Mus musculus: one gene and its partner. The protein of the gene in region 1 interacts with the protein of each later gene in a pairwise test. Links are inferred from orthologs where the notes say so. Each region holds a gene or a part of one and is shown in the gene's direction. Other genes may lie near its edges.

What was found. The genes of interacting proteins can lie anywhere in the genome.
Region 2: the proteins of Txlna (region 1) and Btf3l4 interact in binary tests that used the Homo sapiens proteins (3 or more experiments, as listed by UniProt). The two-hybrid records come from large-scale screens. The link is inferred for Mus musculus from reciprocal best matches to the Homo sapiens genes TXLNA and BTF3L4.

What each region holds. Positions count from the first base shown.
Region 1 is NC_000070.6:129,638,197-129,642,367, reverse strand, and holds the start of Txlna (alpha-taxilin), read left to right. Parts: upstream 1-1,302; 5' UTR 1,303-1,397; exon of another isoform or gene 1,398-1,437; intron 1,438-1,562; exon of another isoform or gene 1,563-1,940; 5' UTR 1,941-1,946; coding exon 1,947-2,112; intron 2,113-2,800; coding exon 2,801-3,139; intron 3,140-4,171. UniProt on the Homo sapiens protein: May be involved in intracellular vesicle traffic and potentially in calcium-dependent exocytosis in neuroendocrine cells.
Region 2 is NC_000070.6:108,816,614-108,820,301, reverse strand, and holds part of Btf3l4 (transcription factor BTF3 homolog 4), read left to right. Parts: intron 1-964; coding exon 965-1,166; intron 1,167-2,057; coding exon 2,058-2,117; intron 2,118-3,415; coding exon 3,416-3,462; 3' UTR 3,463-3,688.

The sequences.
Region 1 (4,171 bases):
AGGCTGCAGCATTTAGCCAACAGTAATTTCAACACGTGAGTTTCTAGGACAGCCTGATCTACATAGAGAGTTACACGCCAGCCAGCTCTATAAAGCAAGACCTTATCAAACAAAACAAACTCCACACAACAAAAGAATTGAAATCACAATTGTGGGGTTTTTTTTAATGTTCTGAGCCTACACTGGCACTGCAAATCATAATGAAGAACAAAGACGAGAAAAATCTAACATTTTAAAGCAGTAACACTTGATACTTTGCAGAAAGTGGGGCAGGGGTGGTAGGGTGGGAGTTTACCAACCTGCCTAAAGCCAAACTCCCTGGCTTCAATCCCTTTCTGAGGGAGTAATTGCCAAGCTGGTGGGGTTAGAAGGCGGGGCATAAATTGCCTCAGAGAACAGCTGTGGTGTCGGAGAATGGTTCCAACCGGTTTTGGTAGGCAGCTCTGAGTTAGAAGCCAGCATAGTCAAAGATTACGTTCTAGGACACACTAGGCTACACAAAGAAACCCTGACTCAGGGGGCAAAGAAATATTTTTAAAGGATGGGTGCTGGTGTCAGGCTTCCAGCTTTGAATCTGCTATAACCACACAATATTGATGGAGCCTTAAACTATTTACCCTTTACCTGGTGGCCTTTGCCATTAGTCCAAGCCATGGGGAGGCAAAGACAGACAAAACTCTTGAGTTCAAAGCCAATTTAATCTACATAGGGAGTTCCAGGCCTGCCAAAGCCACATATAACGAGATGTTGTCTCTAACAAACAAATAGTAGTTTGTTTTATTTTAACTAGGCTTTTCTGTACTATCGTATATTTCACAGATCACTGAGTATTTTGTACTTAATCCGAGTAATTATGAGAATCAAGCTACTGGATACGAGGAAAAAACGTTTGAATTATTATAAACCTTCTATTGTAATAGAGGGGAAAAAAATGCCAGGCACATAACAAATTAGTTTACCTTTCTATCCCTCTTCCGAGTTCTCAGAGATCATAGAAAGTCATACATGTTTATAAAGGACTAATGAGTGTATGAAAAAAAAAGAAAAAAAAAAGACCAGAATGCCAAAGTTTAAGGCCAATCATAGCTTCAGTACCAGAAAAGAGGCTGACAAAAATCTCTCGACCAATGACATAATTTCGGACCCTCAGGGTATTTGGCTCCTATGCTTTTCGGTTGCATCTCGGGAGTTGTGCGGCGCCGCGAGGCATGAAGGGGCTCGTAGTTTTTCCCACTCCCGCCTCCAAAGCCGCCTTGACTTCTTTTTTCCCAGCAAGCTCCGCGCCCGCGTTTGCTGTTGATTGGCTGCGGCAGGAGAGGGCGGTCCTGTTGGCAGCAGTTACCTAGGTTTCCGGTGCTCGGCCGGAGAGGAGGACGCCGCCGGACGTCCGTGGTGAAGTATGTCTATGGGCTGTACGTGGGACGAGCTCTTCAGAGGGTCTGTGGCCCAGGACGCGTTGGCCGTAGAGGAACAACTAATTCGGGGGGTCGGGGGGAGGGCGGCCTGCCCCAGTGTTGCGCGTGCGTACTCTAGGTCTAGAGGGCGCGTGGGGTGTGGGTGGCTTCTGTGCGCGCGCGCGCGCGGGGGTCCCACGTGGGACCTGGTGGGGCGGGGAGCCGATCGGGACTGGAGCATCCCGCCACGTCAGTCTGCGGCTCTGAGCCAATCCCGCGCTCCGGCTGCCGAGAGGGAGCCGTGTGGTGCCGAGAAGTGGCATTCGGGAGAAAGGAGGCCTCTTCCTTCCCTCACTCACTCAGGGGCAGCTTCTCGGAAACCTTCCATGGGACCGTGAAATCCCGGGCGAAGACCGACCGGTCTGTTTGAAGCTTCGAGCGTCAGATTTGGGGATTTCTTATCTAGTTGTGAAGAAGAATTTTGAAGTCTAGAAAAAAAAAAGCAACTGGGTCCTTAAAGGATCTGCCCCATTTCTGGCCTTGCAGATCACAATGAAGAACCAAGACAAAAAGAATGGGCCTGCCAAACACTCCAACTCGAAGGGCAGCCCGGGGCAACGGGAAGCAGGACCGGAGGGAGCCCATGGACGACCCAGACAGACAGCTCCTGGGGCGGAAGCCGAAGGTTCCACAAGCCAGGCTCCTGGGAAGACCGAGGGTGTGTGCCAGCTCTGCTTTTCCAGTGGGCAGAGGGAGGAGTTTCTGGTACTGGTCTGTCTTCTGAGGCCAGTGTTTACCCAAGAAGAAGGAACTATAGAATGAACGATGCTCATTCTGTGTGATCCTTTTGTTTCCTGGGGAGGTGGTGAACCTTCCCACTCTTAGCCGTGGGGCGCAACCTTGGGAGCATGCTCTGACTGGTTTAAACGAAGACAGTCAAATGAAGCACCCCGTAAGCAAAGTCATATTCCCAGAGAACACTTGCCAGTGGTGGGTAATTGTCCTTCATGAGGTGCAGCGTCTGCCACATGCCAACTGCTCCTCACACAGGGGTGCTTTACACAGTTGGCTTTTATAACAAGTATGTTTGGGTGTTAGAAATACTTGTTTTATAACTAAACAAACTTAGGGTTTAAAAAAACTTAAATTGAGGCCAGGCCTAGTGTCCCTCACCATTGTCCACAGAACTCAGGAGGCAGAGGCAGACAGATCTCGGAGTTTGTGATCAGCCTGCATACTAAGTTCCAAGACAGCCAGGGCCCTGTAGAGAGAGCCTAACTCAACCGAATAAATAAATAAAACAACATTTAACCCACACCAGTGTGTTTATCTGGGCTTAAAGAAGATCCAAGCGAGTGGTATGACCACTGAACTTTAATCCCGTGTCTTCATCTTTCCTGCTGTAGGGGCTCGAGCTAAAGCAGCTCAGCCTGGGGCCCTCTGTGACGTCTCTGAGGAGCTGAGCCGGCAGTTGGAAGACATCCTGAGTACATACTGTGTGGACAACAATCAGGGAGGCCCGGCTGAGGAGGGAGCACAGGGTGAGCCCACTGAGCCGGAAGACACGGAGAAGTCCCGAACCTATGCAGCCAGGAATGGGGAGCCTGAACCAGGCATTCCAGTCGTCAACGGCGAGAAGGAGACCTCTAAGGGAGAGCCTGGAACAGAGGAGATCCGAGCGAGTGATGAAGTTGGAGACCGAGACCATCGGAGGCCACAGGAGAAGAAGAAAGCCAAGGGTCTAGGTGAGGGGGGAGCTATTGGTGAGGGGAGGGAGTTAACACCTGTCATCTCATGGGCTAACCTGCTCTGTCAGAACTCAAAAGAATCTGCTTTTCAAGACAGTATGTGTGTTATCTCCCCTCCCCCCCGCCCGGGTTTACTCAAAGATGGGGTCCTAGCATTGAGCTGTTAGATCACTCACTTGTGCAAAGCCTCCTGGCCTTGGGAAGTGGAGGCAGAGTGTAGCTAGCATCTCACTGAGGATATGGAGAACAGGAGGCCCGAGTGCTTGCCAGCACCACTTTTAGCTGCTGCTTGACTTTGGACATGTTTATTCTCCACTCCTGGGTCTTAGTTTCCCTGTTTCTATAGCAATAGAATTAGGCTACACCAAGGTTGAGATATCAAATATCAACATGAACCAGGTAAGCCACAGACCTCTTCAGAATCATCAAGAAAGGGCCTTCTTGATCTGAAAAATTGACTCCTACCTGGTTAGTCCCCCACTCTCATCTGACCAGCTGAATAATTGGCAACCAAAATAATAGAAACCAAGCAAAGCCATCCACTGGTGGGGTTTGCCATCTCCATGCCAATCTCGTGGGCCTCCAGGACTGACAATTCAGGAACCTGGTCTGTGCTGACTGAATACAGTGGAACCCAAGGGAGACAATTGTAAAGCTTCCTGGCTGAGGTAGAGGCAATCAGGCGTGATGGCATCCACCTTTAATCACAGCACTTGAGAAGCAGGGGCAAGTAGATCTCTTGAGTGCCGGACCAGCCAGCTGCATAATGAAACCTTATCTCAAATGAATAAAAACAGAGAGCAATGGCAGTCCTTTGACAGGGGTGGTGGGATAATATGAAAATATGAATTTAGAATCTAATGGGAACCTATGTGGTAGTGTATGCCTCTAATGGGCGACTAGGAGGAACAGAGGCAGGAAGACTGAGTTCAAAGGCAACTTGGACTACATAGCAAGACCCTCTCTCTCATCTCTCTCTAGTACTGTAACCACGTCACTGGTCCTCCTTCCTCATTTTGTCATCTGTCT
Region 2 (3,688 bases), about 21 Mb from region 1:
TTTGTTTGCAGAAATTAATGAATGTGGCTGAGAAGAAATATTTAAGAATTGGAGAAAACTGTTAGGCCTGTTGGTACAAATCTATAGTCCCAGATACTTAGAAACCTGAGGCAGGAGAAACAATAATAAAGACCAGCCTGAAGCCAAGCGGTGGTGGTGCTCGCCTTTAATCCCAGCACTCGGGAGGCAGAGGCAGGTGGATTTCTGAGTTCAAGGCCAGCCTGGTCTACATCGTAAGTTTCAGGACAGCCAGGGCTACACAGAGAAACCCTGTCTCAGAAAAACAAACAACAAAAAAGAAAAATGGGAAAGAAGGAAGAAAGGCAGGCAGGCTGGCTGGCTGGCTATTAAACTTCCCGGGGTTCCTGTACATATGTGGTGCATATGTACACATTTAAAACAAAACAAAGCAAAAATACCTTTATTCCCAGCACTCAGAGGCAAGCAGAGTTCTAAGCCAGGCAAAGATTCATTGTGAGAGTATCTTAGACAAAAACAAACAAGAATAACAGTAAACTAGGTTGAAATTTTGGTAAATTTACTGAGCATTCAAAAAAGTAAAATGCTTGGCTGATTAGATTTCTGTGTCATCTATGTGGGTTTCTCAGTGGTTATTTTTACTTCATACTTTTCCCGCCTTCCATTCTGTCTTCTAAGTAAGAGGTAATTGCACTGATTTTGTTTGTGTAACTAATTAAGAAATTGGTTCATGAATGTAGTTCTACTTAAGAAAAAAAAAAGTGGCCATGAACTGAGGCCTGAGTGGCTATTTCATAACCACTCCAACAATGTGTACTAGCCAGCACCATTGTAATCCATTATGAGACTCTTTCTCTGCCGTATTTACTGCTGAGATAATTAGGACTATGTAGGATTGCTACTATGTAAGATAATACTGCTTTTTAAAAAGATATTTGTAGTTGAGTCTAGCATGTGAAATACATTGTTTTCTGTGCCCATTCAGGTGAATATGATTAAAGACGATGGCACGGTTATTCATTTCAACAATCCCAAAGTCCAAGCTTCCCTCTCCGCTAACACCTTTGCAATTACTGGTCATGCAGAAGCCAAACCAATCACAGAAATGCTTCCTGGGATATTAAGTCAGCTTGGTGCTGACAGCTTAACGAGCCTTAGAAAGTTAGCTGAACAGTTCCCACGGCAAGGTATGTATTTCAATTTAGTATTTTCCCCTTCTTCCCTGCTGTCACTAAGAAAAACCTAATGTTAAAAGCACCCCATCTGGAACTAGGGCCTAGCTCAGTTGACAGTCCTAACCTTGTATGCATGACATTCTGGTTCAGTCCCCAGCAGTGCTAGGTATGATGGCACACACTTGTATTTCCAGCACAAGTTCAGGGTTATCCTCAGCTGTATAGGGAAATTGGAGTTAGCCTGTACCAGAGACTGTTTCAGAAACAAACAACAAAAGGTGTTTTACTTAAACTGAGAGGATTTTCCTCAGTAGGTAATTCTTTTACTTTTTATAATGCCATTTGTGTGTTTCATAAAACTTGTAGTTTTCTTTTTTAATTAATGAAATGTGTCATAGAATATTCAGATACAGTATTACCTATTGCTACTAAAATCATAAATAATGATAATCATCAATTCTGAATTTTCAGATTAGTTTTTATTTCATACATGTCTTGTTGCCTCTGATCATAAAAGAGCCTTGTATTTAAGTAGTTATATGGTCATACTGCATAGCTAGGTACTTAGATCAAAATAAGTGGTAAATAAGTCTCAAATATTTTTTTTAGTTGGAGATTAATAAAGGATACAAAGGAGGATGCCTTTGTTCAGGCCTGTCAAAATCTACATTTTGTAACTTTAACCTTTTCTGCACATTGGAATCACCAGCTGTTCTGTATATATTTAATTCACGTTAAACTTTTATTGTTTTTAATGTTACTTAAGCAAAAAAATAGAAGTAAATTTTAGGTTGTCTGTATTCAACAGCCACATGAGATTTAGACAAAGAGAAGATAAGTATTGGAGGTGTTCTGTGAAGCTCTTTGTTCTCAGTGACTAATACTCAAATGAACTTTTTGTAGTATTGGATAGTAAAGCGCCCAAACCAGAAGACATCGATGAAGAGGATGATGATGTTCCAGGTAAAGTCTGTCTCAGGCCAGGGACCCACATAGTAGAAGGGGAGAACCAGCAACACAAGTTGTCTTCTGACCTACACCTGCACACATACATACACAGATGCAACACACATAAAATAACACAGTGTAATTTTTAAAATGAAGAAAAAGTGATTTATTTTCTTTCACTTACTGCATAGATGACTTTCAGATTTTTTTTTTTTATTTGACTGAATGTCAGTTGATTTAGAGTGAGATTGATAGTGGTAGGTTTCTAGCTGGGTATTAGCTGGCTTAGAAGACCCTGGAGACGGACCCTAATCAGCCCAAAAAGCCAAGGACTGGAACTTCAGGTCAGAAAAATGTCCCTTAAGTCCTATCTCTGCCATTACATAATACTATCTAAGCCTGGTTCTAGTAATGCTAACCCTCATAAAAGATTACTGGATAGCAGAAGGCTATCTGAGAAAGAACAAAGACACACTATTGCCTTCAATTTGTGTCTCGAAGCACAAACAGGCCTGCCACTCACCTGAACAGAACAAAGACCCTCAAGAAAAACTGTTCTGGGGACTTGAGAAATAGGAGACTGCCGCCTGCCTCATATGCAGTCTGGGTCACACTTGCCCCTCGAGTGTATGCTCTACTTTATTACAAATGTAGTTGCCTGTCTTTTATGCTGTTTCTTTGTGTTTTATCTAAATTCTTTAGAGGTCACAAAGAACAGGGAATCCAACTGAGATCCTCATGATAGGATATATATGAATACAGAAGTCCCTTCCTCATTCAGAACTTAGGATCACAAAATATTCCACAAAGCTCTGTTGCCTGCATATATTAAATTGAAATCACTATGATTATCAATATACATTGTTATTGCTGAAAATTTTTGTTGAGGGGCTGGAGAAATGACTCAGCAATTAAGAGCACTGGCTTCTTTTCCTGAGGACCTGGATTCAATTTCCAGCATTCATATGAAAGCCCACAACTTTCTGTAAAATCAATTCCAGGGGATCCCACACCCTCTCTTGGTCTTGAGAACTGCATGCTCGTGGCACACAGACATACATTTGGGCACAACACCTATACAAATAAAATAATAAAATAATTTTTAAAAATTGTTGGCATTATAACTGACAAAATATTATTAGTTATTTTTGCATAAATTTTAAAAAACCATTTCCTTAAGATTGCTGTTTTATAAAAGTCATTATTACTGAAATGTGCTATTTTTTTTTATCTTTTCTGCTTTTTGACTAATTCTAGTTGCAACTATTTTGACTTATTTGTATTTTACTTATTTTTTCCTTTCTCTTTGTCAGATCTTGTAGAAAATTTTGATGAAGCATCGAAAAATGAAGCTAACTAAAATCCTCTGGGTTTTGGAAGCTGGCATGGACTAGATTTAACAATCAGCTCTGTTGTTCCAAAGTTTTACAGACATGGAGAACACACCTGTTATTAGTTCAGTAATATAAATATTTTGTATATTAATGATGCTGTCTGCTCAGCAGTTCTCGGTCATTTGATTTTGCATTTTGCACTTCTTCCCAGGATCTATCTTCCCAGGATCTGTTCTTTTGGTCAAAATATGA